Linked DNA regions of Coturnix japonica. The protein of the gene in region 2 purifies or fractionates together with the protein of the main gene of each other region. This does not show direct contact. Links are inferred from orthologs where the notes say so. Each region holds a gene or a part of one and is shown on either strand. Other genes may lie near its edges. The genes, in order: RBM45 and FAM120A.

Region 1 (16,161 bases), on a different chromosome or scaffold from region 2:
GCAGAAACTACAGCTGGTGAACACTGCTGAAATCCAAGTCATTTACAGATAAGCATGAAAAATTTTACTTACCATTACTGTGCTATTACTGCAAAAGAGCCCCCCCAAAATTATGCAGTTCTTGCCAATTCAATAACCACCAGCAAAAGCGATATAGATTATACAGTTTCTTTTTCCAGTACCTAAAGCTTATGCTCTCAGCAGACAGAATTATCATTTTCTGATGAAAAGGCCTGGAAAAGCAACGTGACAGCTACTTAGTGGCAGTGCTACAAAACAGTTGAAACAGGGAATAATGAATATCATATCCAACCCAAAGTGCTGGCTGAGATTCCCACTACTTCAACATTATGCATGCACCTACATTACATGCACATCACTATGCTGTGCTTTAAAACATCCTCTCAAACACTACTTAGTTCCTAATCAGCTGCACTGAGCAAAGAAAAACACATTCCTGCAATTTACATCCAAGCTTTCTATTTGGGTAGCAGAAAAGAGCAAAAGTCTTGTGAAGCAAAAAGTTCAGTTTCAGTGCCTGTGTAGCAGCACAAATAGTTAGTTCAAGTTTGTAAAAAAATAAAATAAAAGCAAAAAATAAGCCACTGGACCTTCTGCACATGTACTGCAAAGATTTCTACACTGGCACAGAACATCACCACTTGCTTATTCCTGATGCAAAGATGCACTGCATGACGCGCATTCAGCAGCATGCCAGAGCTGCTGTATCAACAGGACAGAATGACTGTCATATCTGCACAGCAGAACTGATGCTCTCCAAAAATACTGACCTTACTGCATTCACACACACAGCATAGTTAAGTCTGTAAAGATACTGCTCGACAATTCCAGAGTTTTAGACGTATAGCATCCTGGTCAGCACTGCTCCCCTGAGGAAACCCAAGAAAGCTCCACATCTACTCAAATGGAAGGAAAAGGAAAAAGAAACAAAAATGCAGGAGTTTTCCAAAGGAACCCCAGCAAAATGGTAGCTGAACCAATTGCAACAACAGCTCTCATTCTTACCTACCATCCCTAAGGTAAAAATATTGGTACTCTTAACACATGTTTTAAAAAGAAAAGGTTTGACATGCCTGCATCTTGCATAAGAGAACAACTCGCAAAACACTTGAAAATAGCACAGCATAGAAACTGTTTTGCACTGTCTAAGTATGAATTGCATTAATCCTACAGTAGGTCCACTCACATTACTCTACTAGAAAGCTAATCAAGAGGACTTGGTCATTATTGTTACGGCAGTATTTCAAGACCGCTGACTGTGAAACAGCAAATGATGAAGTTGTATGTTTTGAGTAAGCACATTTTTCCAGCTAAAAATACCGTATCAAACTCTTCTGCATCTCACACCCTTGTGTTCCCCTTCAAGCAACCTCCTGCCTGGAAAGAATTTTTATGGGTATATGCCTTTTAATACTGTAAAACAGCAGAGAAAGATTTAAAAAGGATTTAGTCCTCAGCTCAGTTGGAGATATTTACCAACACCTTAATTCCTCCTGCTCTTTGAAGAACAAAGGAAACAAGAAAAGGAGGCTATCTACCACAGGTAGAAGCATAACTTAAGACACAAAAATATCACTTAAAAGACAGCATGCTTCTGCACACTGGCTATTTGAATTGGGAGGGTCAGGGGCCTGGAGCACGACATAGAAGGCTGGAAAAGTTTCTTGTCAGCAACTATTCTTGTCTTGGAAAGAATAAGGGGGACTGAGAAGGCAGCAAGGAGTCCATAAAGGGTAAAATGATACTAAAGCTCAGAGAGCTACATGGAAACAAATGCCAAATTCATCCCAGGAACATCAGTCATGGAACTACATTCTCACCTACCTGTGGGGTGGTGACTTTTTGGAAGGACATCTTTCTGAAAGTGCTCAAAGACAGAGGAAGTTGTGGATGCTCAGCTATTTATCCCCACTTAAGGATCAAGGGATCAGCACTGGAGGAGTTGGAAGCCAGGTACAAAGAGCGTGCTTGTACAGCAGTGTGCATGCAGTTAGAATTTCAGTTTTATCTGTGAACATTTAATAACCAACATTTTTCAATTCAACAAATAACATTCAGGAAGTATTTGTATTTGACAATCATCTTTGCAAATACTTATTCAAATTATCTTCGTTTACTCTTTAGCAGTGCTCAAATCATCTTCATCTTGCTGAAATACTAAACTGTTATTCAATTAACCAGTTCTTCAACAATGTACTCTTTGGAAGCTTCTTAAGAAAAACTGGGAAAGAAAACTCCCAGACTCCATTTTTCTGTAGTTACAATGATAGAACCTCAAGAAAATGATAAATGCAAGCAGCTTTGATAGCTTGACCCACAGTCAAATGCCCTTTACGCTAAATAGCACATAAAGCATAACGAATACTTTTGGCTCAAGTCAGTGAAATATTCAAGAGTGTACTTGAATCACTTTCATGAGTATGGCTTTTCTATCAAATCTGACTTAATACTCTCAAATATGCTAGTAGTTTTCGAAATAGTTCTTTCGCTTTCTTTCAATTTACTGCTTTACTTCAATGCATTCTGGTCACTGGAAGTGCCTTCAGAATAGCATAGTTACAATTTGATTCACTATCAATTAACCAGGTCAAGCCACAAAAACCTGACTCTCATCACTGCATTTTCCATGTTTGTGGAGCTTAGTTTAGCACGAGATATTTATTTCTGGAATACAAGAAAACAGGATTCTACATGAACAATCGTCAGTATACAATTTCAAAACTGCTGGATTCTTTTATAACTGCATGTTCACACTTCTTAAAAACAGAAAGCACGACATCAACAGAGCAACAATGCAAAAGGAAAGGGAAAAAAAAAAAGGAAAAAAGGATGTCACTGTCCCCAGGAACCATGTCTAGTCACGTTTCAGTCAGTCAGTCAGTCGAGGGTCATGTCACTATTTAGTTCTGCAGAAAAAAACACAAGTACAAAAAAAGTATCAAAAAGCAACATACCTATTGGCTTTACAACAGCGTAAGTGATAAGGGCTCTTAACACATTCAGAAGAATAACATTAAGCATCACACATTTGTCCTTTTGTTGTTGTTTTTTTTCCTTAAGAAAAAGTCTCATTCTGAACATTGCATGAAAGTCAGCAATTTTTCTACAGTACACAGCTGATAAATAGTACTTGAAAAATTATTAATTTGGTGTATCTCTCAACTTTCATATAATTCCTATTTTAAAATATTTTTGCACAGCAGCAAATCATCATGCGAACATTAAATTTGAAGGGTTTTTTTGAGAAAGATTTAAGAAATAAAAACAAATTCAAGTCAATTCAGGGATTCGTGATAAGAGGCATCTTCTGAATTCTTAATTTTTGTTTATTAACATTTTCTGCAACAGTAAGAAGGCTGCCAAGTACTCCTTTCACTTATCTCAGTAACCTTCACCAATAACCAAACCCTTACTGAATTTGCAAACCTGCAGAATCGTTGTTACGCTTTTTATGTTAGCAGCATTAGGAAAATTAGAGGGTAAGATGACAATTTAGTTTCAGTAATTAAAAAAAACTACCCTAAGAAAAAACAGGAGAGTAGAGCTATTAATTTGATACCCCACCCACTATTAATACAGTGGACAGAGTAGCTTCTGCAGCCAGTGAAAGTCCACTGTTTTGGAGTAATAACCAAAGCTTTCCACCCTGTACTCACTTTTTGTCTGTGACATCTATGACAGACTCTCATCCATTCTTTGTATTGCAGTACAGTATAAAACACCAAGTTCATTGACATTTTAAAGCAGAAAGCACCATTACGCATTCAGTTTCAGATTTTAAACACCCCAAACCACAAAAATAAATAGTGTTAGACTGGAATCAAGACACAATCCTCCTTGATTTTTCCCCATATAGTCATCTGACAGACAGTCCCCATTAAAAAGAGCCAGGTCTTTATTTCTACTTTGTGAAAACAGAATCACAGAGTCGTAAGGGTTGGAAGGGACCTCCAAAGATCATCAAGTCCAACCCCCCTGCCAAAGCAGGCTCCCTACATCAGGTGAATACATCTGGCATCAGCTTCCTGCCACAGGATCCTATATATTCCCACCAAAAAAAAAAAAAAAAGTAATTAAAAAACACACTTCTTCTCTTTGCTTACTTGAGCATATTCATAGATTAAGACTGATCCATGTCTTCAGACTCAATCCTTCTAAACTGAGATTTTAGACTATAAATAATTATTTGGTCTGTCTTCTTATCATTCAGTCAGATAACCTTTACAACACAAACAGCAATACTTTCTCAAAACACGAACATTCCCTCCTCCTACATCCAGAAATTTCTCACTAAACCCAAGAATTCTCAACTCTTAACTTCTTTGCATAGTAAGCAGTTAACCCGAAAACACTAAAATCACTTTCACACACTACTTTACAGAAAGCAAATCTTACAAGTAACAGACAGTATCTATCATCTTCACTCAGGAAACAACTGCAGCCTGCAATTATTATTATTATTATTATTTTTTAGAGGAATTAACATTTTCTGAGGTTTACTACTAATTTTGGATGTTTATCATAACTATTCTTCTATTCTATAAAGTAGTTTTCCTCCAGTCAAAACAGAATTGATACGACATTGCACTTCAAATCATAGCTTCCCCTGTAGTGACAGAAAGGTTTGGTCCTTTATTACTAGAAGTTTAAAGAAAAAAAAAATAATAATCACATTTAAGAAAGAAGAACTTAGTGAATAAAGATAAAAACATGGGTATGAGTTACATTCACTGGACCTGCCAATTTTTAAGCTTCAAAAGAGTTTTAGCTCCAATTCCATGCAGACATATTTAGTTTTTGTTTTGTTTCTTTTTAAGTTGTACATGAAGAGTATTAAGACCTTTAGAAACCGACGCTTATCAAAAGAGAAACATGGGACTCCCTAGGAAAAGAGGGAGAACCATACAGGTGAAATCTTTTTCTGGCCTTTCTAACTCCCAGGTCACAGAACACACCTACACATTGCAGTGACAAGGTGTGACACTAAGTAAAACACCAATGTGAAGACAGTTAGGATTTCAAGTGATGTTTTTAGAATGAGAAAGGGAAGGAAGAAAAAGAAACAACTGGATTTCTTTTGTTTTCTCCCCAACAGTAGAAAACCAGCTACTGAAATGATTCAGAACCATACCCATAATGGGTATTAAAGTAATATTTACATTTGAATCAAACCAACATTTCCTAAGAACAAGTGAGCTTTGGTTGCAAACCTCCATATATGAGCTCTGACACTGTTTATTGGCCATATAATTAACTAAAATATTTAAACTTCATATTTTAAATATACACCTCCACCACCACACATTCCAGCTGCATCTGATATTTGAGAGTCCAGATTACCCAAATTACTGAAGCCTTGCCTTTTTGGTCTTGCTTTGTGACATTTACACCCCTTCCTTCATCTGTCCTTTCCAGGGACAAACTCTGCATCTTTATCAAACATCATGCTCAAGGCACGTGTATGTAATGAAAGGAAGACACACGCAAGCTGGTCTCAGTTACAACGTTTATTTTTCCAATACTCTTTCAGTCAGACCTGATACTTTTATGTACATTAAGTGAATGTTTCAATGAACATCCAGACTGTTAATCATTTCATATTTGTAGAAACATTAAAAAAATAAAGATTTCTTTGCTAAAATAAAAGTGCATGTATAAGCATATACACACCCATACATTATACACACACACAAACCATATAACCCCACCCCCCAATTAAGTTAAATTTATTTTTAGCTATCAACAAAATTTCAAAACTCTTTGCTTCCAACTATTTCAAATAGCTGAACTTCAGCTTAAGCAACCACTCCAACTGGGTACTCACCTACTTAGTAGGTTCTCTGACGTTTGTTAGATTCCTCTGTGGGGGAGTCTGCCAACCTTACTTTAAGTCTGACACCATTCACAATCTTGCCGTGTAACGCAGTTATGGCTTCACTGGCACTTGCTCTGTCGGCAAATTTTGCATAGGCCACATTTTTCCCAGCCACAAGGTAAACTTTTATTAAATTTCCAAAACGGCTGAAAAAAATAACAGCAACAAAGGAGAGAGTTGACAGGTTTTGCTGCAGCACTGACACTTATCATCTAATCCCAGCTCAACAAAATTCAGTAGCTGCAAATTCTATGTTTTCGCACATACACCTTAATATCTTGTGTTATCCTCCTTGAAAAGTCCTAGTTTTCATTCCCTATTCTAGAATTCTGCACAAGAATAGAAATAAGCCCAGGGGTCTGTAAGGAAATGTCTTCTACAGAATACTGCAATAGAAGCACAAGTATTACATATTCCTTTAGGATCACTAAAGCTATTCCATGAAATAGTCACACACAGTAAATACTAAACGAGTAAAAAACACCCCCCCCCCCCACCACCAAAAGAAAAACACCAGACAATTGCAAAGGCATTTGAGGCAATTCATTCACATCGCATTTAAATGAACTTGTTCAGCTGTGATTCATCTTCAAAAAGGTTGTGCTGAAATGACTCACAAAGCAAAAGCTAAAGCCTCACAGAAAATCTAAATCCTCAGGAGATTCCTAGACAGTACCTTAACAAGTTTGAAGTCTATTTCATTCATATTCAAGTTATGTAAGTACCAAGACTAGAAAATCCAGTACATAAAATAAAGTACACCTTAGAATTCTAACAGAAGTGCATATTGTTTCATTCCTACTATTTTTAATTGTTGTGGTTTTTTGTTGTTGTTCGGTTTTTTTTTTGTTGTTGTTGTTTTAATTTCCAGCATTTATTTTCATTATTCCACAGTTCAGGAAAACACTTATCAATATAAGAAGCCTTACCAGAAAACATCCTCCAATACAGTCACAGGTAAGGGATGAGGATGAAAAAGTACAAAAAGCCTTTCCTTCACAGAAGTGTCAGGTGGAACTTTTTTTTTGGGTGGTGGAAGTATAGCATCGGTTTGGGGCTGAAGTAACGGTGAGCCAGAGGTTCCTCCAAATGCCTGCTGAAACAGGAGAAGTAACTCAACTATAAGTCAATTTTTATGAGAAAAATAGTATCATTTCATCTAATTCAGATGAGACAGGCTTATTCAGACACAGCCTCTAACAGTTAACTTGAATTTTAATTACTTAGTTTACTTCACCTACTTCATTAGACGGAATAACACATTCCAATAAGGTAGACATTCAAAGAGAATGAGAAAGAGAACCAAAAAACAACCCACCCACACCAACCAGTTATTTCTCAAAGACGTAGCACCTAAAGCTATTACAAAAGAAAGCAGGCTGTGCTCTTTACTGACACATCTGGAGTTTCTTAATTCAAAGTCAACAACTACCAACAGCATCCATCACATGAACTTACAGGAGGTGTCCTATACTGCTGAACAACTGCGTTATTATTTCGCAGCACTGAGGTCATATGTGCTGTTACCAGTTGTGTTGCCATTTTTCTGATGAGGCTGCAAGAAGCGATAACAGGCTGTTTTAAAGCAAGAACTACATTACAGTTAACTTCAGCAAGAAGAAAATATAAACCTTCCTAGATACACAGGAAGATTAAAAAATAATAATAAAACTCACTTGAGTCTACATAATTAGAAGAGGCTTGCATGACACTCTAAACTCAATCTGAAAGCAAACATCCTACCTGAAACTCACTGAAAATACTCAGAGCAACAAAACTCCCTTGGCTTTTCCCAATATTATAACAAAAAAGAAGCACTAACTCAACACAACCCTTAACTTCATGTGAAAGGCTCCAAGGTGGCAAAAGAGACAGAAGTTTCTCTTGTTTCTTAAAAGAAAGAAAAGCACAAGGATTCAATTCAGAACATTAACACAGGAACTTCATTTCCAACTCTCATTCTTCAGTATTCTTTCCTTTGTTCTGCTTGGGGATAAGAATAGCAATTGCACATTTGCACAGATTCACAGCCTAGGTTTTAAGGCCACAAAAGACAACCTTTGCAAAAAGGATATTTGCAATGAATTATTTTTTTTAAGCTTAGATCAGGCATAACACTTCTGCAGTGAATCTTCCCATCGTGGTTTTGCACAGTATTGTTTTTTTGTACATCAGAACAGCTTTGAGGTCTCAAATAGCTTGATTTCTTCCCTGAGGGAATCGAAAGTATTCACTACAGGAAAGCATGTAGTTTACTTGCAGCTTCAAACCATATCTGAATGCTGGTAGAAGTAAAACCTGGCAACCCATATACAAGTGGAAGAATCAGATCCTCAGCTTTATTCTGCCCATGTGTTTCACACGGCTGTCTGCAGCATTGCAAACACTGCCAGCAGATCAAATAAGCAACATCTGATTTTAATATAAAGCCTCAAACACATTAGAAACACATTCCATATTACAGGGGACTTTAAGGATTCTTGCCAAATATCCTATCATGTCTTAGGAATATATGTTAACCTTTCTTCAAATTCAAGATACTCATTCTAAACTTCAAAAAAATAAAGAAAAAAAAACTCACATCAAGTGTGAAACTAATTTAGTAACACTGCTGCTACTTTTTATTGTTAAACAGTAATAGTTTCATTCTCCAGAACACAACTTACCAAATTTTCTATGTATTGATACTTACTCTGAACTATCATTCCCATCTTCTAGAAAAATGACGGTTAATCTGTTTCCAGGAGGATACTCAAACCCATGTAGCTTATACTTGGCATATATAGCTGATGCAGCTGTACTATACTGAATCACAGCATAACCTACAAATACAACACACATGGTTCCTGTGCTTTACAAGCAATTCTTAAGAACAAGGTACACTTACATAGAGAAGTAGGATCAAACTACATAGATGCTCCAGAATTCTTGGTCTCTTTACATTAGTTTCAGTACTTTCCTTACTAGCAACATTAATATTTGTGAAATAAACTTCTGTGAAATTAACTAGTGACAAATCAGTTGTGCTTGTATCAATTTGAAAAGCTGATAATACAGCAGCATAAGACATGTCTTCTTGCCTAACCCTCAGTCAGAGGGATCATCTTAAAACACACTTATTCCAACTGTAGTACTGTAAAGTTACAATGTAGTTGAATCATTTCCACTTCACACCTCACAGTGCTCCTTAATGTTTTTTTCATCTATAGAAAAATAAGAATACTGAAACCAGAAAATTCTTTCAATACAAAAGAAGTTTCGTTTTGTAATGATTTCATTCCATTTACTCACTCATTTACACACACACCACTGACACAAAAAAAAGCCAATTATTTCTAGTAACTACTGTATTTTGCAGTACAAATGAACTGAGGTACAATTTAATTAAAAAAAAAAATAGTTCTCTTCATAGAAGAAAGAACACTTTTGTAGTTTTTCTTACCATTATTAGTATGAGGATCACGCTGAACATCACAATACTCCAGGCCTGGGATCAGATCAAAGAGGGCAAACAGCTGTTCTTGGATAAAAGGAAGTCGTGATACCACTGACAGACGTTTGGAGACTGACTCCTGAATTCTGGTCTCATTTTTTTCAAAACTACAGAACTCTGGCTGAGCACCTCAAGAATCAACACAAAAATAAACAATTAAACTCATTATATTAACTATGCCTTCAATTCATATATAGTTTTCATTCAAATTTTAGAAGCAATCTAAGCGAATTATACACCATAAGTGATACGTGTATTTCCTGAATGCAGGTCTTGAAATAATCAGTCTACTAGACCAAAGTATGTCATAAGAATATGGGAGAGAAAAGCCCAAGTCATTTCTAATTCAAACATCCCATCTGCGCTGTCAAACTCGGCTTCCTTTAGACTGCCTTCTTCCAAACAGCCCTTAGATTGTGATTAGACTGCAAATAATTTTCAGTAAAAAAAAAAACAAACTGTGACTTACAAAATGGAAATACATTTCCTCTTGGTTCTTGCCTTACGTTATTGCTATAATATTCATGTTCAAAAGATTCGGATGACTTGTTTTTTGGTTCAGCCAAGATGGCTCGGTAGCCTGAAAGAAACCATCACACATGTGAGCCTGCTTACTCTGAGACTGACCATACACCAGTACCTAAAAAGACCGGGGCATGTCCTTGTGAATAACCTAACTGATATTCAAAGCCATTTGGCTGTGCTTCCAAACAAGACAAACTCCAGAAGTCCCCTCCAACCTCAACCATATTTGGCAGGACTTGGAGATGCTCCAGAGGGAATCAGCTGAACTTCCACAGAATTATAACAGTCACTCCTGTGAGTGCTCTGTGCTGATCTATGATCTGTTTATCAATCGATTAGGCATTAACTCTTAGGCCACCTAATCCATTTCATTTCAAACTCAAATCAGAAAGGAAATAAAATTTAACTACTAATAAATATCACTCATTTTTGTGAGTATTCTTGCATAGGGATAACAATTGTTCAGAACTCCTTATGATACATCAAGCATATTACTTAAACAAAAATGAGAAAAAAAAACCCACACAACAAAAAGAATAAAACAGTGACAAGAAACCTAAATCTACATGCCGAAGTGTTTAATATTGAGTAAGTGAAGGAGGTTGGACTGGAAAACTGCTGACAGGTTTCTCCAAAAGCCTCTCTTCTACTGGCTGAGCAGGCCCAGTCCCTGAGCCCTCTCCTCACAGGTCATGCACTTTACCAGTCATTAGAGAATGGATATATTCCAATTCCTTAACAACTATTTGGTACCGGGGCATACATGGCAAATGGTTGATCATGAAGTGGACAAAGACTTAGTTTCTACAATACATTCATCCTGATATTAAATGGAAGGGGGGAGGAGGGGGAGGGAAAAACACTTAAATTACCTAAGAGCAAATGAACAAATTTAGGTTAAATGTAAACCTAACAGAATCCTTATGGATTATCAAATGCATTATTACATATATAATATATAGTTGATTAAAAACATATTCCCATATATTCTTAAAAATGATGATGTCCTGCGTATGAAGTCCAAATGAGAATACCACCTAATTTAAGACAAACACTATCAGCTTCTACACTCTTTTCACTGATCTTCCTTCCACAGGCTGGTGATGCAAGAACATTATTGGGTGAATATTAGGAATACCCCTTTTATTTGCAACACAACTTTTGTCTCAAGATGTGTTTACACCATAAATAATTTACATGCAAACAAAAATAAAAATTAAAGGTATGATGGCACACATTTATCATGAAAAATATTAATGAGTTCATTGAGATTCTTACTTCGATCACACTCCTCAATTGCTCGGGCAGCTTGCGATGGTTTCAAGTACCTCACGTAGCCCAAACCTTTGCTTTCTCCAGTAGTCTTGTTTTTAATGATGCTGCAATATTCAATGTCTCCATACATCTAGAACGATTAAGAAATGTATTAATTCACAATATTTTAAAAGACATTAAAGTTCTATGATTTAAGCTCTTTTGAAAAAAAAAAAAAAAGAAGGAAAAAAAAAAAGCTAATTTAAAATCCTTAGCAAACAGTGAATCAGCACCTTAAACTTCTCTCTCAGGTCTTCCTCTGTATAGGTCTTTGGTATCATAACAAAGATTCGTGTAAGCTCCTCATCTTCAACATCTCGGTGGCTTCCAGAAGCTCTTGACTGTGCAATAAATACCTAACAAAAACTACATAAGCATTAATTACTGGAAGAAGAGTCCTAGCCATATGCCAAGTTAGTTTTTTAAGCAAATCTTTGTATTCCTCATCCACATTATATAGTTTTCCTAGTAAGTAAAATAACATGTCACAGATGCAACTGCAACAGAAGACCTGTAAGAACAGTACACTCAAAGTGGTTTCTGAAGCAGGACAGAAGGCAGCACAAGACCCCATAAGGATAACGCAGCATGGCGAGGAATATTAAAGCCTGTTCCAGTGACACAGAGGGCATCTGCTCTAATGCAGTTGGGTAGCCCTGGTAGGACAGTATTAACAAGAAAGAAAAAAAGTGCATTTCTCCCACAGTAAGGTGCACAGAAACTTCTTTCAACGTTCAAAGTCATTCACACTTTATAGTTACCTGAGGAATACAAAAACAATTCAAGAGGCTGAAACCTACCATCAAGTTCCATAGATTTAAAAATGCAAGAAGCTCGTACACGAGATACAAAACCCATGCAAAGCACTCTTGTAAAGAAAGTTCTATTTGGGTGCGGCCCTCCCCCCATGCCGCGATGGATGCGCTTCTCAGCCCGGCCGTACCTTGATGGGTTTGGTGTCGGGGACCAGGCTACGGCCGTGCATCTCCTCCATAGCCCGGCAGGCCTGCGAGCTGCGGGCGAACTTGATGAAGGCGATGCCTCGGGACTCGTTGGTGCGCTTGTCCCGCAGCAGCCAGATGTTCTGGATGTCCCCGAACGGGGCGAAACGCTCCCGAATCAGCGCCTCGCCCGCGTCCTTACCCAGCACCACGAAAACGCGGCTGTTGGGCGGCTCGTCCAGGCACTCGGCCGGCAGCCGGATCCCGCTGCTCTCCTCCATGGCGGCCGTAGAGGAGCGCTGGTTCTGCTCGGGGCTGGGCGAACAGCCGCCGCTCGGCTCCTTCCGCCGGGGAGACAACATGGCCGCGCCACGTCCCTACGTGTACGGCTGGGACAGCGCGCAGAGCCGCACCGCCTGCTGGATAGGAGGGCGGAGGGATTAGTCCCGCCCCTCGGGTCTGCTAAAATCCAATCAGAGAAAAGGCGAGGAGATCTCTCCGTGAGAGGACTTGTCTATAATATCATTCCATTATTGTTATTTTTCTTTTACGTAGTGCAAAATGGGTGATGTTGAAAAAGGCAAGAAGATCTTTATTCAGAGATGTCCTCAGTGCCACACAGTTGAAAAAGGTGGAAAGCACGAGACAGGACCAAATCTTTGGGGTTTTATTTGGCTGCAGAACAGGACAAGTGCAGGATTTCCCTACTCAGAGGCAAACAAGAAGAAAGGTGAAGCAACGTGACACGAGGTGCTGCATGGAACATACATGGGTAAAGAAAACAAGTTTTCCTTACATACAACACTGAGGCTCATTCACAGTGAGTTACTCTCATAGCATCTGCTTTGCGTAAACGTAAAATGAATCTAAACTGCAATTTCAGAAGCAAAATTACTCAGCCTATAAATTACAAAGAAATTTTGCCACTATTTATTACGCCAGGTCAGCTTTCCCAGAACTGTGCAGTATCTATGGGCAAATTTTCATTTCTGTTAAGGACGCTTCTGGATTTTGTTTGCTCGTCACCACCCTCTACTGACACTGTGGTGTGCTGCATTTGTTTTACTCTGCAATACTTGACTAAACACCATCACCTACCAGTAAGCAATGACTCGCCTCGTGTATTTTAGTACAGTCTTGAAAGGCAACATAACAGCTACAAATGGAAAATAAGTCTGTGTATTCTTTTTCAGGTTTTCCTTTTGAATGGATATTATTTTGATCTAAACCATGTTCAAATGAAGTAATTACAAACAGTAAAAAGTCCTAAGGATAGGAACATTAGAACGAAATTCTAAAAGAAAACCAACCAAATGATATCTGAGTCAATTGTGCATAAGTGTGAGCAGATCATTATCATCAGGTACTTCAGTAGTCTCCTGTACAACAGCAGGCTTCTGCTGATGGGCAGAACTTAGCAAGGTTGAAAGGAAAAATTAATGCTTTTTCAAATTCTCTTGCGACAATCCAGGAGTGGACATTGGTAACTTTTTCTAAGGTCCTTTCGCAGACCACAACTTTCATTAAAACAACAATCTATATACACTCTGTGTACACTCATTTGCAGTTTGGCCATCTAAATACTGAAATGATAAAGATATTTACATAGTTCAAAGGAACTATGTTCACCTGGAGTGAGAGCGCACCGATGGAGTATTGGAAAACCCTAAGAAATACATTCCTGGTAAAAAAACTATTTTTGCTGGAATTAAAAAGCAGAATGAAAGAGCTGATCTTATTACATACTTGAAAAATGCAACTTGTTTGTGAACCGTTGCTGCTGTAGCTGTAATGACAATGAAAAAAACATTCTGAATTTTGATGGGCTGCTATGTCAAGTTTTAGTGTTTTGATAGTGTTTTGATAGTTATTGTTCATTAGGGCCTTAAAATCAAATAAAAGCATGGTTCAAGGTGCTGTATCCTCATAAACAGCTTCAAGAGGTGAGTATTACTTAGACTGTGTCATGTTTTTCATACATCCTTATGGAGTATGCCACAGAAAATACTGTTCCTTTCCCTAAGCAGAGAGCACACTTCTCCAACTAGTTATTCAAAGACCCACTGAAACTGTTGCTATTTGGTTACAGCTAAGCAAACAAGAAGGCCCCATATTACGCTGGACAACTAAATAAAGTTTTTCTTTTGGAGAAGGTTTTCTTTTTGCTCACTGCATTGTCACTGTTCCTTCATGTATTAAAATGGTATAATAATCTACCAGTCATCTTTCAGAGTTGTGGATTTTTTTCTCCACTTGATGCTAATATATTGAGGTTTCCTCTAACATGTAGAATGACTGAGGGCTGACCAACTTTAGCAACTGAAATTAGTAATAATATTTTCACTAACTGTGGGTTGTTGATGAAAGTGATTACACTCCTGCTAAAACCACACGAACTCTCCTTTAACACTTGAATCAAGATTTACAGTGTAATTATCTGTTTACACAAATGATGTTAAAATGATTTTAATGTATCCCACTCCAGCAAGGTTTCCTTACGTCATCACGAAAAGGAGCATTGGTACAAAATTAATTTGCTGTCTTATCTGTACCCAGGTACTCATCAGTATTGTTCCAGTGTATTCCAACTAGGGGTTTCAATTCACTGTCTTAAAGAGCTCCAAAGCAGTGAATTTAGCAAAGGCAGTAAGTGATAAAACATTCTATGACGCAAGCACGTGAGTACCTGCTTTACTTTCCTTGTGTCCTGTAGCTATAAAATACATTCCACTTTCAAGTATAATATTTAGGACTTGTGCTGTTGACTGTTTATAGTCAATTAAAGTAAAGCATCTGCCTGAATGACAAAAGTTTCCACGGGTACTTTCCTCCATTGCATTTTGAAGAGTGCTGTGCCCCTCCCTGCTTTTCTCAATAGAGAAATAGACTGACAAATGCACTGATGCTTCTGCTTGTCGTTCTGTTAAAGCATCTTTGTAAGGTGCTTTAACCTTTGTACATTAGGAGACCAGGCTACAAAGCTGTCATGCTGTCAGAGTTAGCATCATCAATCCATACCAACAACCAGTGCACCATACATGACATGCACCAGCTGTATGCTGTCTGTAGTTCACTGCAGCATACCCATAGAACTATAATAGTGCACAACAAAACTATGGAGCTGATGAAATCCATGTGCGTTTTTGTCTCTCCCAATTAAAGCTGTAGTTTATCTATCTATCTATCTATCTATCTATCTATCTATCTATCTATCTATCTATCTCAGGCCCACACACGAAGCTGCAGCCCAGAGTACCGTGTGCTCAGTGTACTCACGCTGCAAACAGAGGCATCCAGACATGTGCCAGGCTGCAGGCAAACCCAAATTATCTCCTTATATCCACTGAAACAACAGGTCAGGCTTCTAAGGAGGGCTTTTCTGCAACAATTCACTGAATAGCCTAGAGAAATGCTTTATGCCTGAACTTACAGAAACACTGCATTGCCTTGTGTCCACACGCAGAACTGCTGCACAGTACCCATTTTGTATTAAAGCACTGGTATGAGTGCTACTGCACTGAGATGGCAAAAAACTGTTTACACACAATCATTTCAACCGTATGGAGATGCCTAAAGGGCCTCTGCTGAGAGATCGAGGTGCGTGCCTGCCAGGCGCTCAGCAGCTTAAAGCTGTTTCTTTGCGCAGGCGGCATGTTTGTGCCAGCGCTGCAAAAAGTAAATGCCAGCGGAAAGGCCAGGCGGGAATCGGTGGCTACGGGCGAGCAGGTGCCCCCCGAGGGCGATGCTTACACAGTGGCCGCGGGCGGCGAGACCGGCATCTCAGCAGCGTCCTCCTCCCGTGCTGTGACAGCGGCTGAGGGGCAGCGATCCCCGTTCCCAGCCCTGACAGCGTTCCAGCGGCGGGCGGAGGCGCGGGCAGCTCGGGGAAGCCCCTTTGCAGCGCGTCACCCCGCGGCCCCACCGCACGCTCCCCGCGGCTCCGCAGCCGGGCACGCCTGGGCGGCCGGGGCGCGGCTCCGCTCCCCTTCCCA
Region 2 (15,650 bases):
TCTGTTCTGCTGCTTCATCAAACCTGCTTTGTGCATCTGCCAAGAAGCTATAAGAGGGAATGTGGACACACTGGAGGATGGAGTAATAGTGATCTTTCTTTCTCTCTTCCACAGCAGACATATCTTTTCCTCCCAAAGTGTTCTATGTAACAAATGAATGTGCTTTTTGTAAGTGCTATAAGCCTTTTTCCTTGACGCTCCTAATGTTTCTTGAGCACTGAAAAAAATTAAACTTATTTTGCTCAAGGTAGAACTTAAAAACAGATTGAAGATGTTTAGCAGAATTTTTAAGGTTTTCACATGCATTGCTGAGCAAACAGCCGTGACAGTTTGATTTTACACTCATCCCCTTTTTTGTTCCTGCTCCTGGTTTTAGGAAGGTGAGTGTCAGCACATTGTAATCATAAAACAGTGCGAACAGGCATGTTTGCCACAACCTTCCGATATTTGAGGTGAAAAAATGAAAGAACGAAGGATTGGTCCTGTATTGTTTTTGGTTAGGATGGGTAAAGTGTAGGACTTCTCTCATGGTGCTTGATAAAACTTTCAGCTGTGTAGGGTACTTTCCTGAGTTTCAGGCAGAGTAGATCTATATTGTAGGAGGACTGGAGTATGATTTCAGAGATCTTTTGAAAACCCTTCTAAATGCTTACCGAGTTACACTACCAGAATGCAAATTAGACTTTGTCATCTTTGTTTTTGCATTTACATTTTCAGTGAAAGCACCAATTGAGTTTTTTACCTGACATCCTAAGGAAATGAAATTTGTTTCCTTAGAGATCATTGGGCTGATTTGGGCAATCCTCCCTTTGTTTAGTCTCTTGACCAATGATAATCAGATTTGAAGGCAGTTCCCATCTGGCTGTTGAAAGCTCTGTGAAAACTGATACACTATTATTGATGAAAAAGACCCAAATTATTGCTCTTGCTGATGGGGAAAAAGCTAGCACAACACATTGCTTCATTTCACAGCAGCTGGCTGGTCAATTATTAAATGCATAGTCCAAACGAGCTGCAGCATTACTGTCTCCTGACTGATAACCATGTCAGAAGAGTCAAAGAGGCTGGGCTGAGGCAGAAGGGACACCAGTCTTCCATTAGTTACCGGTCATGAAACAGCTTGGTTTTTTAGCTCCAGTTTCAACTGTACCTCATGGTTTGAAATGATAACTTGCTTCAGTAGTTCTTCATTGAATTTTATTTCATATGATGTATATGTGATGTCACTACATCTATCTGTGAAGATAGCTTTTGTTAATTGCAGATGTGCAGAAAACAACACTGCTTCTAAATTTTATGGATGTTCAATAAAACTTGAGGCATGTTTATGTCAACCATAAGTTAAAGAGCAAGAAGTAATTTCAGTACAGTTAAAAAATCACAGGCTGTCATAAAAGTTCGAAGGAGGTAGGAGTTAGGCCCTATATGATAAAATTTTGCTTTTTTGCCTCTATTTAGAGTTTCTGTTAAGAATTTTCCAAACATGGGGCTCTTATTCCACACCTCATTCGGCTCATTTAGTATTTAAAAATCTTACTGTTGCATAAATATTTTAATCTTTTATATCTAAGTATGATCGTGAGCATCGGTGCTAACAGTTACAGTTCCTAGTGCTTGATCAGTTGCTTGTCAGTGAGATCTATGACAGACTGTGACATACAATTTATTTTCATTCCTTCTCAGACTTTTATTATGATGAGACAGAATGGTTACTCTTCCTAAAAGAGAAGCTTTACTAGTTCACCAAGTGTGACGTGGAATAAAATGACCAGTCTTCACTGGTGGAAAATTGGCTTGTCTGGCAGAGAGTGGAAATGAACCTAAGTGTGACATGGCAGCATCTGTACCTGCCTGTTATTAGGCTCCAACAGCAGCAACTGTGAAATTCTACTGACAAACTTAAATGAGATTACTTGAAATTGAAATGAGAAGAGTCGTTAGAATTCCTGAGCAAGAACTTGGCTGCGAGGCCTGGTCTGGAATTGTAGCATTGTACTGTGTTTTATTTGTGTGCTTCAGGATTTATTTTGAGAGATCTAGAAAAAAAAATTGCTTCCCATTCTGGAAAGCTTGCTGCGGGCTGGAGCTTCAAAGTCAATCTATTTTTGCAACAGAGTTGAATTATGAGGGACAGTTCTCATCTCTAGAATGAGTTGGTGTTGATCTGGAAGAGCATAGCGTCAAAGAAATGCAAACTTGTATATACAAGGGAAAGGTAATCTTAGAAACAAGCCTTGGCTAACTTGCCTCATTGGAGGAAGAAGAATATGCAGTGAAACTATGTGAGGTGGATGTCTTCATTTGTGATGGATTATCTTCCTGTTAGGATGGATTTGAAAGGATGGATTTGCTGAACTCTTCGGCAAGTCCTTGATATGCCCACCATACAATTTATCAAATCTATTTTTACCCAGCAAAAATATCTGTCTAATCTCCTTGGCTGCTCAGTGGAGGGACAAAAAGAGATGTTTCCAGAAGACAATCCAGAAATATGCAGGTTAGACTGCTTCTGTGAATTGCTCCGGGTTCTTGTCTTTCTCCGTTGACTTCAGAGGATGTCTGCCAGAGGGAGACTAGTAAGCAAAGTAGGTGCTTGAAGTGCTACAGATTAGATGCTACTTTTAAAATATGGTTAAAGGGTTCTCATGCTGAACATGAAGGATCATCACAGTGGTGAGTCAGGCTGGAAAGGGCCTTGAGAGGTCATCCAGTCCAAACTCCTGCTCAAAACATGGTCAATTTGAGGTCAGAACGGGTTGCTCAGTGCTTTACCTAGACTTGCCTTGAATACCTCTGTGGTTGGAGATTGCCCAACTTGTCTGGGCAGCCTGTTCCATAGTCTGACAATCCCCATGGGAAGAATGTTTTTTCCTGGCATGTGAGCTTGACCCATCTTGTGTCTGTCTGTACCTTTTATCTGTTGTCCTTCTGCAGTGCATGCATCGTCTGGCTCCATGCTTTTGATAAGCTTTTAGTGGGTATTGGAAGGCTGCTCCAAGGTACCCCCAAAGCTTTGCCTCTGCCAGGCTCAGTAAGCCTCAGTCCCTCAGCCTCTTCCGATAGACCAAGCTCTCCAATTCCTTCACAGTCTTTATGGCTTTCAACTGAGCTTGCTCAGCTTTCTTGACCTCTCCCTCATACTGAGAGCCCAAAGCTGAATGCTCTGTTGGGGAGGTGATACAGTGAGCTCCCAAGACTGGTCAGCTAGCTGTATTCTTGGGATGCCGGCCTGGTGCCAGCTGGCCTCTCCTCTCTGCCTTGCTGACTCACCTTTGGCTCGTCTCAGGCTTTCACAGTGCAGCTCCAGCTTGCATAGTGACCAGGTGCAGTGCTTGCTTTTGTACTTGTTGATTTGCTTAAGATTCCTGGTGGCCTGTTCCACTCGCTTGTCTAGGTCTTCCTGGATGGTAGCCCAGGCCTCAAGCTCATGCTGCTGTTTAGGAATGTCATGCAGATCCTCTTATACCCTATGTGTCTGTGTCATCCCTTGAGTTTATGCTTGCGCTCTTCCCTTGTATGTAACTTTCACAGGCCAAGACAAGATGCAAACAGTTTGCACGGGATCTCGGTAGAAATTACTACACAAAAATAAGAAAACACAGATAACTTGCGTTCCTCAGGTCTTCAGCCTTTTCTCTTACCTATGTATAAAATGTTCCCTGTGCATCACCTCACAATAACTAAGCAGTCAAAGTCACTTTTTTCAGTGGTTTGAAAATAAATGTGAAATGATAATATGTTTCCAGCAGGCACAACAGTAAGCGCTGGTACTAGTGTTGATTAGCCTTTAAAGGCTTTGTGGCCAGGAGATGGTGGCAGCTCTTGTTTTTCCAAGCGTAGCTTAAGTGCTTCCTCCAGTATCCTAATAATCCAGTGGAGTTCCACATATGTGAGCCTTTTTCCTTCTGATAACGTAGTTTAGCAAGTTGGTTTTTGTCAAATCCAAGGCTTTTTAAAAAGATGTTATCTTTAAGTGCAGCTGACAGCAAGTCTGAATCATTAACAGGTTTCCTGTAACCTGCCTAATAAATGCTGAAGATTTATCTTACATTTTAATTCACACATGATTAGAAACTCATTTCTGATCCAGTGCAAAACTGAAATTTTGGGTTGCTGGAAAGTTGTAACATGAAATCTTAATAACAGGAAAGTTGATCTCATTTCTCCGCTTCTCTGTTTTGGCTTCTGTGGGAGCTCACAGGACATTTCATTTTGAAGGTGTTCTCACTTATGGGCCAGGAATCTTCTGAAACAAAGGCAAAGAAAAACCAGATGTCTGAAATGTCTCAGAACCTGTAGTGCTGTAAATCTGTACTTCAAGAAGGTCTCACATCAGGAGTTAAGAGTGTGCCCCACTGCAGTCCTCAGGCTGTTGGTTTAAGAGCAGCTGTGGTACGCATAGTAAGCCTTAATTCGTCTCACTTGAGCTTTGGACCTGCACGGTCTGAGCTGAGTGTCTCAGTATCTTCTCTTGATACTGTTTAATGTTTTAAGAATATTACTATCTTGGAAATGACATCAACCTGAAGATACTGCTTATTCTCTTTGCCCTCTGAATTTTGAAGCAGACGTTGCAGGAACACTTAGGCAGTAAAGTGGGATTTCTCCAAGGTGCTCTGCAGAGAGCACATCTAACATGACACAGCCATGTTGTGATTCAGCTGCATTAGAAATGTGCTGTTGTTATGTGTACAAATAAAATGGTAGGTGTTCCTAAAACAGCTTAGATTAGAGAAGCTATTTCTTCTGTTTGCAGATTGGAGCAGAATTCCCTTATCAATCAGTATTTTTACCTGTAAGCTTATGTGTGAATGCGATCTGTGTTTGGGATTGTTCTGTACATTCAGATTGCATGCTGCTGGAAATTTAAATTTACTGTCTGCAAAAATAAAAAGAATAATTAAAATAGCTGCTGTGCCACTGACTAAACTAAATCTGACTGTTCTTTATTCAGGCTTAGAAAATGTAGGGCTCATCCCAGGCAGAGAATGCCCAGATAGAGAATGAATATCTTGACACTTCTAGACATGAGGGGAGGAAAATTAATACGAATGGGAATCTGAGCAAAATTTCCATGGTCTAAATATTAAAGATGTGTAAGAGTGCATAATAAATGATCCAACACAGGCAGAGGAGAGAAAGTAATGTGGTAGACTGCATATGAAATAAAGAGGACTTGTGGATTTCAAGTTGCAGAGTGAAACCTAGTGAAGTGTTAATAGGAGTTTTGCATAAACGTTTCTGACAAGGCTGAATTGCAGTGTTTTTAGTAAAGTATGGTTCCTCTGTAGAACACAAGCATAAGGATTTTTTGCCTTTTCTGGTATCTAAAAACTAGAACTCTTAAGCAATAATTGTGACCTTTCAGATCTTGAGTCGCCGATACATTTGAAGTGGGCAGTTAAAAGTTAAAAACCTGGCTGCCCGTGGAGCTACTGATAGAGTGCTCCGGAATTGTACGAGGTTCCAGACAGACATCTTAACAAGCTCCTTAGGCATTCCCTGAAATGTAGGGCATGCAGTCAGAGCTGAGGCCTTTCTTCTGCCCGCATTGTGCAGAGCAGTGGGAAGGCAGCAACCTTCCTGCAGCGAGCAGCTCTTGAGACGCAGCTCTAGCACAGCTCCCAGCTTCTCAATTCACAGTGGGCTGTGGTGGTTGCTTGTCCTGAACTTCCCGTTCGGGATCATGCAGTACATATGAGAGAGGTAATTCCCATGATCATATGCTGAATAATCCTCAGACTATTTTCAGGATGCTAGATATAGAGGAGCCTATTGACAGAGTTGAGATGGAAGGCCACGGTTTCCAGGGCTATCCGGTTTCCTTCCTTTCTCCATGTGAACACTGGAAGGGTTCAGGCCGAAGATCTGAGTCTAAAACTTTCTGGCACAGCAGCGGAGCCATCTGCAGTTGTCAGCTGCTGAACTGTGGGAGCTGCAGCGGCTTTGGAAGTCATCCCATAAAGTTCTTCCAGCTCTTTCTTCTTACTACAAACAGAGTTCTTGTGCTGTAACATCCAGAGCGATTCTTATCTTCTCAAACCCGTGGCCTGAGTCGGTGACCAGTGAATTAATGGGAATTCATTATTTTCCTAAGGTCTTGAGTAGGCTGTACTCTGGGTTCTGTAGACAGAAATATGTATGGTCTGGAGTGTCATAAGCTTGAGGGAGATTTTTAGCACACTTTTACTTGCATGTTTCTTGTGCAGTCAGAACAATTAGTCAGACACACCTGACATCTGAGGATAGAACATTAATTATTTTCATTCTCTCTATATAAAATGCATACGTTTATATTATTAAAGAATTTTTTTTTAGAGGAAATGTCCAGCTGGAAAACAGTGTAATAATTAGCGTTCTTGACCTTGCCTGTTGTTGGATCAGGTACTTAAGCAGCAAATATTTACATAGAGTTGAGGTTTCTATTACATACATGTAGATGCATATGTACATGTATATACTGTAGATGTGAAATACACAAGTCATCATTTAACTTGAAGTTTTGAAAGCAAGGTGCAAAGCCCCAAAATGTTTAGTTCCTAAATCTGTCAACGTAGACTTTGTTCAATATATTTTCAGTAGACAGTTGGGTTAATTCTTTACTGTGTAAGTGAAGGATCTTGGGCTACCCTGTTATCTCATGTCAACGTGTTTATTTTCATAGGTACGTGCTCACCAGTTAGTTTTACCACCTTGTGACGTAGTGATCAAAGCTGTAGCTGACTACGTCCGTAATATTCAGGACACCACTGATTTGGATGCCATAGCAAAAGACGTTTTTCAGCACTCACAGGTAAAGTATGAAGAAAATATTGTTTGTTTGTTTGTTTTAAACAATTGCGCCTTATATTCGCATTGCACAATTGCATTCAGTAAAAGTAAGGTCTTGAATCAGGAGATACGGGAATCTGTTGTTGTATGCAGTGTCGTAGGTACCCTAATGTAATTGTCTGCTTTTTTGAAAGAAAAAATTATTACACATAGTCACAGTGCTTTGAAGTTTAGTTCTTGATAACCAAAGAGGTTTTGTAGTCTGGCTTTGTGTATGTGAAGATATGTAGTGTTTTTCAAGCTTTATCCTTACAGGGGCTGACGTAGTGTTTTTGGTGAGGGTGAGTCTCTGTGGCTCCATAGGCATTAATGCTGTATGTGATAAATCACATATAGTTGACCGTAGTTGACTACTCTGCAGTGCTGTGCTTACCTGTAGATGCCATGCCTGGATCTGATCCTGATAGATATTTCTTTTTGTATTTATTTATTTTAGTCTAGAACAGATGACAAAGTTACTCGATTTAAGAGAGCAGTTGCTTATTACTCAGCAACTAATAAACCTATGCCATTTCATCCACCACATTACATAGGTAAGTAATTAAGAAAATAAAACTTCTCACTTTAACTAAAACCTGATGTAACCCAAAGTTATTGTTGTAATAACCCTCCTTTATTATTAGGGTCTTATAAAAACATACACTCAGGCAATATTCATTAACATTAGAGTACAATGTTACAGAAAAAGTTCTTTGCAGTGGTTGTTCTCTTCTACTAGAAAGAGTAACAACCTAAACTTACTTTCCTCTTTAGCTGTTGCTGAGTCAGGGCTAAGCATTAGGTAGCATCAGAATGTAGTGCTGGCAATGAGTGAAAAGCAGTGTCTACTTCCAGTCATGAAGACAATTTCTTTTCCACAATACATTTCATACTCCTCACTGAACATACCTGATGTTTTTTATAGATCCTTTCCAAGCCTTAGGTTTATTTTGATGTCCTAACACATGTGCTTAAGCTATAGAGACTAATTGATACCTATCTCAGGTTGTTCCAAGGTTTACAAACTAACCTTGTGACCATAGCACTTAGCACATATACCTCATTCTTAACATTAAAATCTTAATTGGAGCTGGAATTTTCCAAAGATTTTGTTTCTGTACTGGTATGCTATTACTTTTGTGGGTTTTTTGGTCTTTTTTTTTAAGCTTTCAAAAAGTTACAGTGAAAAGTGTATTAAGGCTATGCTAGATCCAATATTCAAGTGATAGAATGTGCTGGTATTACGTGTATTTATGACGTTGTTTTTTGCCAGCTGCTTGCTTATCACATCTCTTGGGCTTTTTTTCTTCAAAGCTTCCTTTTGTTTCCAGGTAGAATAAAATTATTGTGCAGTAGGGAGAGAGGAAAACAGTTGAGAGGATGTGAGGCAGGTAAAACAGACTTCACAAGCTACAGAATATTTCTATTACGAGTTAAAAAATGAATGAAATTCACTTAAGGATTCACATAGTGGAGAACTGCTAACAGAACAAGAAAAAATAAACCATGAAAGCAAAAGGAAAAAAAAAACGGTAAAAACTGTGTCAAATAAATAGTGAGCGTTTTCATGAGTGGTTTTCTTTTCCTCCTGTTTGTTATTTCTCCTCCCCATTTGCAATGCAGCAGCCAGACCAAATCAGTTTGGAATGCCTGGGATAGTGCCACCATATGTTCCTTCTCAGATGCTTAACATTCCACAGACCTCACTACAAGCAAAACCTGTGGTAAGTGTATCTCTCTGCCCTTCTCCTTGAGAGAAACCTATCATGCTCATTGAATTAAAATCTAGGTGGGAAAGGCTATGTCTCACTTTTTTAGCCTGTGTGTTCACTGATTACATTTTCAACGTGGAGCTATAAAGATGAATGCCCAAGGTGGATGAGATTTCATGTGCACATTAGAATAAATAATATATGCTTTTGTTTTTGGTTTTCTTTTTGAAGTGAATCCTTATAGTTACCTTTATTTATAAACATTGCTGTATTTTAGGCCCAGCAGATGTCCAATCAGGGTGGTGCCCAAGGTCAGGGTCCGTACCCGTACAGTCTCTCTGAGCCAGCCATCACCTTGGAAACAGGTGGAAAAAATCTTTCTGAGCAGAACAACTACAGTAACATTCCTCATGAAGGAAAACATACACCATTGTATGAACGATCTTCTCCAATAAATCCAGCTCAGAGTGGGAGCCCTAATCATGTGGATTCAACCTATTTTCCTGCTTCTTCTACATCATCCTCCTCCGACAACGATGAAGGCAATGGAGGTGCAGTGAAGTAAGTTGTTCACAAGGATGTTTTTCTGCTCTTATTTTCAAAATCGTTCAGTATCCTGAAAGTAACCAAACCTGCTTATTAACGATGTGATAGGCTGTCAGAAAACAGTGTTAGGTCACTATGACTGTGAATATATCCATGGTTCACTCTTGTCGCCTTGTTCCTTAATGAGCAGGAATCCAAAACCAAATAACGTTCAGTATTTTTCCACTTCTGGTCTTATGTTTTATTGAAAGAAGGAAGGAGTGAGATTTTGATAAATGTCATAAAACCTCCCCGTTCTTTTCTTTGTATCAAAGAAATACTGCCTCACATGCAGTTCATTAAAATTTCTGTAGCTAAGAACTGGTTTGCACTTCCAATATTTTGGGGTAGTGTGGTTTTGCAGAGACACTTGATGTGAGTGTCAGAAAGCTGAGATGCTGTGACTTAAGAGCTCTCATTGACAGGCTATGTATATAACTATGCTGCAGTGAAATTGGTTTTGTTCTCCTACTAATGCGCTTTGTTTACCGCAGAAGTGTTTTAAGACTTCCACTAGATCGTATGTCTGTCCTTGGCAATAAAGTTGTGCAGACTTCCTTGTAATTACTGCTTACTGACCTACAAAAAGGAAACGTGAACAGAGGCAGTTTGTGTTCACCTTTTGTCTTGCTGGGTGTAGTAGCTTACAATGTGAGAATCAAAACCTGTGGCTTTAGCAGGTCTGTGATAGCCTCTGAAGGATTGTGTGTCATAGTATAAATACGCTTCTACTTGATACTGAATTCTGAACATATCTACAGTTACAGTGGTTTGGACTTGGTTTTTCTGATGCAGTCTGTCAACTTTAAGTACGTTATCATGTGTTTTGCAGTGCGGAACTGGAAAATTACCCCCTTTACACACATATAAAGTATTTTTCAGTGTTTTTTCTTATAGTACAGTTTTATGGAATACATTTTGAATTAATTTGGAAATGGAAGTCTAGGCATTATCACTGTTTGCAGTCTTCTGACCAAGGGAAATTACTTGGCATGGTGACAGGTATTTCAGGATCAATCAAGAATATTTCCTGCACGAACATTATTTAGTCATTGTAAAGGATTCCCTGTTACTTTGAAATATGATCCAAGTATTGTTATAGTGTAAATGAATAAAAGTAGGGATCTTGAAGGAACTTAGATATCTATGAATTGACGTTTTCTAATACGCAGCGTGCCTTAAAGTCCTCTCTGGTTAATTGTTGGATTAACAGCAACCAAGGGTTCATTGCATCTTAACTGGTACTTTAATGCTGTTTTTTTTTTTTTTTATGCTATCCTTCAGCCATGTCAGTGGGAACAAAATCGGCTGGGAAAAAACAGGAACCCAGTCAGAAAGTCAAACACGTGGAGACCTGGGAGACCAAACAAAGGTAATTCCTTCGGAACAATGGAGTTCCATTCGTGTCACATAACCTACATTGTAGTGAGGGCAGCTCTAACACAGTATTTAAGCATTAGCTATGGGCTATTATGGGTGTATTAAAGCTCAGATGAAGAGTGGAAGTCCTTTACAAGTGCTTGCTAAGACTTGCACTTAATGTGTTGAATAACTCCATGGGACTAGCTACAATGTATTGCTATTTAATTAAGTGAAGGTGGGATGATTAAACCATTATTAAAGACTTAACATTATCTGATTTATTTATTTTCTTCCAGATACAAAATCATTGTCAAATGAAAAGCGTGATGATCTGTTTCATGACTTTGAGCTGTTCTTAGAATGTTGTGATCATTTGCATGCAGTACTTGTGCATTTTTGTGATGGAGCTGTGCTCCAGCCATTGCTTTTGTTTCAAAAACAATTAAATAAATCAAAGCAAAGAAGAAAACAATCCTAAATAACTTGTGCTGTGGAAGAACAAAGCATTTTCCCTGTACCTTTCGTATAGAAATTCCAGTAAATTTTGGCTTCGTGCTTAAAATATCAAGCTGATGATTTCATCCATCGGTGCTTATTATTTTTGCAGACTACGCCCCGCACGATAACTGTATCTGCCTGTGGATTAGTCACCATATGCAAATGCTAATGTGACCTATTGCATTCCTTTCTTGTCTGTGCCATGGCCATGCACAGAGCCCGGCACACCCAGGCTGCAGCCCTATGTGCACAGTGCTGCCCTGCAGAGCAGATATGGGGGCGGCTGGCAGGGCACTGCTCCCCCAGCTGGGTGATGGCCGGGTGGGACGTGCTGCAGGGCACAGCTGCCTGCCTCTTTGTACATGCAGAATTAGGGCTGTGTAAGCAGTGATTCAACTTTCCCGGAGATGTATGCATGCAGTCCGACTTGAGTGCAACCAATTTAATTTGTTTTACTTACATGCTTTTCTTGAATATCAAACCACTTCTTCAGCCCTCAGTAGCAGAAGGCAGTTCCATCTCTTGAGTACACACTACAATGCATTCTGTACCACAAGCTTTAACCATTTATTCTATATACTATCACTTTCCTAAATTGAAAGTCTGGTCTACCAACTCCAAAATATAGTCTTATAGTAACGTCCTCTTTTATTGTGTGCTTAAATGTACTCTTAAAATACTATTTCCCCATTGGCTGATCTTCTGTATGCATTAAAAAGCGCTTGATGTTGTGTGTTCTGTTATAGGCAGAAGGTTCCTCTAGTGCTTCTTCAGGAAGTCAGGCAGCCGATGTCAAAGGGAATCAAACCAGTAATCCACAGATCCCATGCCTGTTGTCAATGCCCACCAGAAACCACATGGATATTACTACCCCTCCATTACCTCCAGTAGCACCTGAAGTATTAAGAGTGGCAGAACACAGGCACAAGAAGGGGTTAATGTATCCCTACATCTTTCATGTCCTAACCAAGGTATGACATTTTAAAACTATGTGCTATAAAATAACCTTTTGGTAAAGATAATTGCACTTATGTATCTGGCTAAATAATTTTGTACTTTTACATCCTGTTTTAAGTTTTGAGTTTTGGTCTGATTTTAGTGTTTCTAGCACTTTTTTCACTTGATTTTTAACCACTGATCTGGGCTGACATATTGTTGCTGTAGGTATGAGGTGACTGTTACTACTGTTTATTTTAAAAAGACAAACAAACCAACTTCTTTTGACTTTAGTATTTTATTTTGATACTTTTACATACCCATGTTTGTGCGTGTGTGTATGTATTAATTGCCCATTTCTAGAGTGTGACATGTGCTTTGGTGTTTCAGTATTAAACAGTAATTAGATTGTTTTCCCTCATAATATAATCCTTCCTGTCCTTAGTAGCCAACCCCAATAAAGACACAGCATCTGTGATAAATCCCTTTTGTTGAATCATAAAATGCAATTGTAGAACTTGATGATGCTATGAGTTCTTTGGTCACTGATTTATTTTATGTACAATTCTTGAGATCCCAGGTAAGCTGCAAGCACTTCCACACAGCTTAGGCCGCTTTCTCTGCAGTATGTTGGGTTTGGGGGGGGTGGGAAGAAGAAAAAAGTCTTAAATCCGTGGCCACATAGGAACATCTTGAAAAGCAATGGGACAGCTTCTTGCCAAAGTAAGTAGTGGAAGGAATCACAGCAGTGGAGCAGCTGTGTTCTGCACAGCCCTGTGTTTGACTTACTTGAGTTCCAAAAGAGATGAGTTCTCCTCATTGTTCCTTCTGAGTGCAAACAGAAGAGTCCCAGAAGAAAACAATGAATCCTCTTCCACTGTAGTGTTCGAAGCATTTAGTACCGGTTCCTGTACGTCTGGCCCATTCACTGTACATACTTGTACAGCAGAAGGGCACTGTCCACACTGCTGGTCATTTGCATTAGTCTTAAAAAATCCATTTCAGGCCAATAAGGACAGTAGACTGGAATTTGAAATGCACAGAAGGAAAGGTTTGGGTTTCCTTCTATTGCTGTCATGTTCTTGTACTTCCCATGTTTATCAAAGAAAAGTGCAACAAGGGAACTGTGAAGACCATTGCAGCTCTGTTTCAGAGTTTGTATAGCCGTAAACTCTTAGTACATTTAAATACTGCTGGACGTTTCCTGTCTCAAAATGAGAAGAAACTAATTAAACACCTGAATGTTGGGAATTTTCTCCTAGCAGAAAAAAGAAATGAATCTAGAGACTGTCACAATATAAATCAAATGAATCAGTACTGCTTTTTGGTTTTATTCATCTACTACCTGAAATGTTTTTTAATATTTCACTGGCGGACCTCAAGTGTGCCAGAAAAAATGTTGACAGGTTCCTCCTTGAACGGTTTTGAGATGCTTTAGAAATTGGCACACAAAGATGTTCTGTGTTATGCTGTTGTTAAACATATAGAGAAACTTTTCACACATCCTTTATAGCTAACTTAGTGTTGTCTGTATACAAGATAAACTCTTTTTTGTAGTAATTCAACCATATATCTAATAGTGCAGATAAAATAGAGATCTTTATGTAACCTAAAGTGATACAAAAAGGTCGAAGCATGCTAGTAACTTCTGTGTAAATATACACCTACAGCTGTTTACAGCTTCCACCAGTTTATGCATTTTATCTGGCTTATGTTGATTATAAAGGCTTTTGAGCATACAGAGTGCTGTAGTGCTTCCCTGTATCTCATCCCTTTACTGGAGAGTTTATTTGGGAATATCATCAATGTAAGAACAACACTAAAGGAAGCCACATTGATGGTGAAAAGGATGAGGTTTGTTCTTAAGAGAAGTTTCTTGTTGAGGTCACTGATGCCAGAAAAAAAGAGAATGTTGAGTAAGCTTTTAAAGGTATTGATTCTTGACACCTTTACCAATAGGAATGAGTAGTTTTCCAAGAAAAACTGAGCATAGTTGGATGCACATATACTGAAAATACAGAACATTGCTGCTATTTTAAGAGAGCTGGAAGGTCTTTTCATGTTTTGTTTCTGAAAAAGAAAGCATAAAATGCTTTACCCGCATCTAAAGCAACATTACTTACACAATCCCCAGTTGCAGTTGTTTGGCCAGGCCTTCTCTTAATGTTATTTTTCACACTGAATCCCCCCCCAGTACTGTTTCAGATCCTTGCACCAAACCTTCCAACTGGTGTTTTTAGGCAGCGTGAATATTTTTTTAATGACTATGTTCAATCTAGGCTGATTTTTAGCATTTAATGTTCAAATGTGCTCTGAGTGTCTTACTTCTATAGGCACGTTACGTTATTGTCATACATACTGTTTTGGTCCCAGAAGTATCTGTATGTAAAAATCAGTATTTAGATAATCCAAACAAAAAGAACAAGTGTGTGGTGGGGAAAAAAAAACTGCATAAGTGATGGGAATAATCAGAGCTCAGAGATTTACTGGCAGAAAGGAAGTAGATTGCAACAGGGTAATCCTTGTCTGGAGTTACCTTCACATGCATAAGATCCGTATTATTGCTGAATCGCGTCCTTGACAAGGTGGGATTTGCTTTAGAGCTTGATTGAGTTACTGAGCATACCTAAATACTTCATTTTTGCTCACTCTAACGTGTCATGTTTTTCTGATTTCTTTCATGGAAAAGGGTGAAATCAAAATTGCCGTTTCTATAGAAGATGAAGCCAACAAAGACCTGCCTCCTGCTGCTCTGCTTTATAGGCCAGTTCGTCAGTATGTTTACGGAGTCCTGTTTAGTTTGGCAGAAAGCAGAAAGAAAACGGAAAGACTCGCTTTTAGAAAGAACAGACTTCCACCAGAATGTATGTACTGTAGAATCCATTCTTTATTGCTCTTCCCCTCTGCTATGTTTCCCTTTGTACTGTAATTTGAATGAGAATAGTTAATAAGGTTTCATGAATGTAGCTATAGAACTGGGGGAATTTGTGGCTTATTTGATCCGTGGATAATAGAAGATGTTTTGAATTTGAGATGTTGTCTCTTGAAGCTTAAGAACTTTAAGCACTACCCTTTTCTAAGCAAGTTCCGGGGTTTGTTTTTTAGTGTGTTCAAGCTGCTCTCAGGCTTGAAGCAAATAATGTTATTTGATGGAATTTTCAGCATACATGTCAGATCCTGATTTGAGGAAATTTGTATTCTGAGCAGTTCTATGCAGTAACTTTCAAGTGCTGACATAAATATGTGGTTTAAAATCTGCAGAAATGAGGTGTGATTGTAAATAAAAGCAGACTAAACCTTTGTGAACAGGCTTGTCAAAAGATCTTTTTGCTGATTCAGTCAAAAAGACGAGTGTTAATCCTTATGTTAATCTGGAAGTTATCTTCTTAAGTTTTCTGCTTCTAGGAATTACTTCCAGAAAATTCAGTCCACTCATTCTGGAGTGTTTTACTTATTTATAATGAAATGCATGCAAGGAAATGATTGAACTTTACAGTAGCATCTTATAAAGGTTAAAGCGGTGCTGAAGCATTAAGTGGATAGCAGCGGCAGAAGTACGTATTCATATGTAGAAGTCTACTGTCTGTACAAAATGCAAAAAGCAGATATTGAGAATGTCTAAAAGCATTATTCACAGCCTTGAAGTATAAAATAATATTCAGTTGTTGTGTATATTCATGAGGAAAGTGGCAATCTGCCAACAACAATTGAAAAACTTCTACTCTTAGTTATGTTGTGGGAATTAAT

The links.
Region 1: the proteins of FAM120A (region 2) and RBM45 purify together in Homo sapiens (co-immunoprecipitation; 3 studies listed by BioGRID and IntAct, with this or other methods). This does not show direct contact. The link is inferred for Coturnix japonica from reciprocal best matches to the Homo sapiens genes FAM120A and RBM45.

What each region holds. Positions count from the first base shown.
Region 1 is NC_029522.1:13,804,166-13,820,326, forward strand, and holds the start of RBM45 (RNA-binding protein 45), read right to left. Parts: upstream 12,572-16,161; 5' UTR 12,532-12,571; coding exon 12,172-12,531; intron 11,585-12,171; coding exon 11,462-11,584; intron 11,320-11,461; coding exon 11,193-11,319; intron 9,970-11,192; coding exon 9,859-9,969; intron 9,519-9,858; coding exon 9,339-9,518; intron 8,719-9,338; coding exon 8,589-8,718; intron 7,452-8,588; coding exon 7,355-7,451; intron 6,993-7,354; coding exon 6,826-6,992; intron 6,043-6,825; coding exon 5,850-6,042; 3' UTR 5,846-5,849; intron 2,928-5,845; 3' UTR 1-2,927. Other genes in the region: translation initiation factor IF-2-like, read right to left, coding at 15,950-16,161. UniProt on the Homo sapiens protein: RNA-binding protein with binding specificity for poly(C). May play an important role in neural development.
Region 2 is NC_029527.1:4,465,394-4,481,043, reverse strand, and holds part of FAM120A (constitutive coactivator of PPAR-gamma-like protein 1), read left to right. Parts: intron 1-6,664; coding exon 6,665-6,793; intron 6,794-7,267; coding exon 7,268-7,364; intron 7,365-8,433; coding exon 8,434-8,534; intron 8,535-8,799; coding exon 8,800-9,083; intron 9,084-10,391; coding exon 10,392-10,479; intron 10,480-11,713; coding exon 11,714-11,938; intron 11,939-14,592; coding exon 14,593-14,767; intron 14,768-15,650. UniProt on the Homo sapiens protein: Component of the oxidative stress-induced survival signaling. May regulate the activation of SRC family protein kinases. May act as a scaffolding protein enabling SRC family protein kinases to phosphorylate and activate PI3-kinase.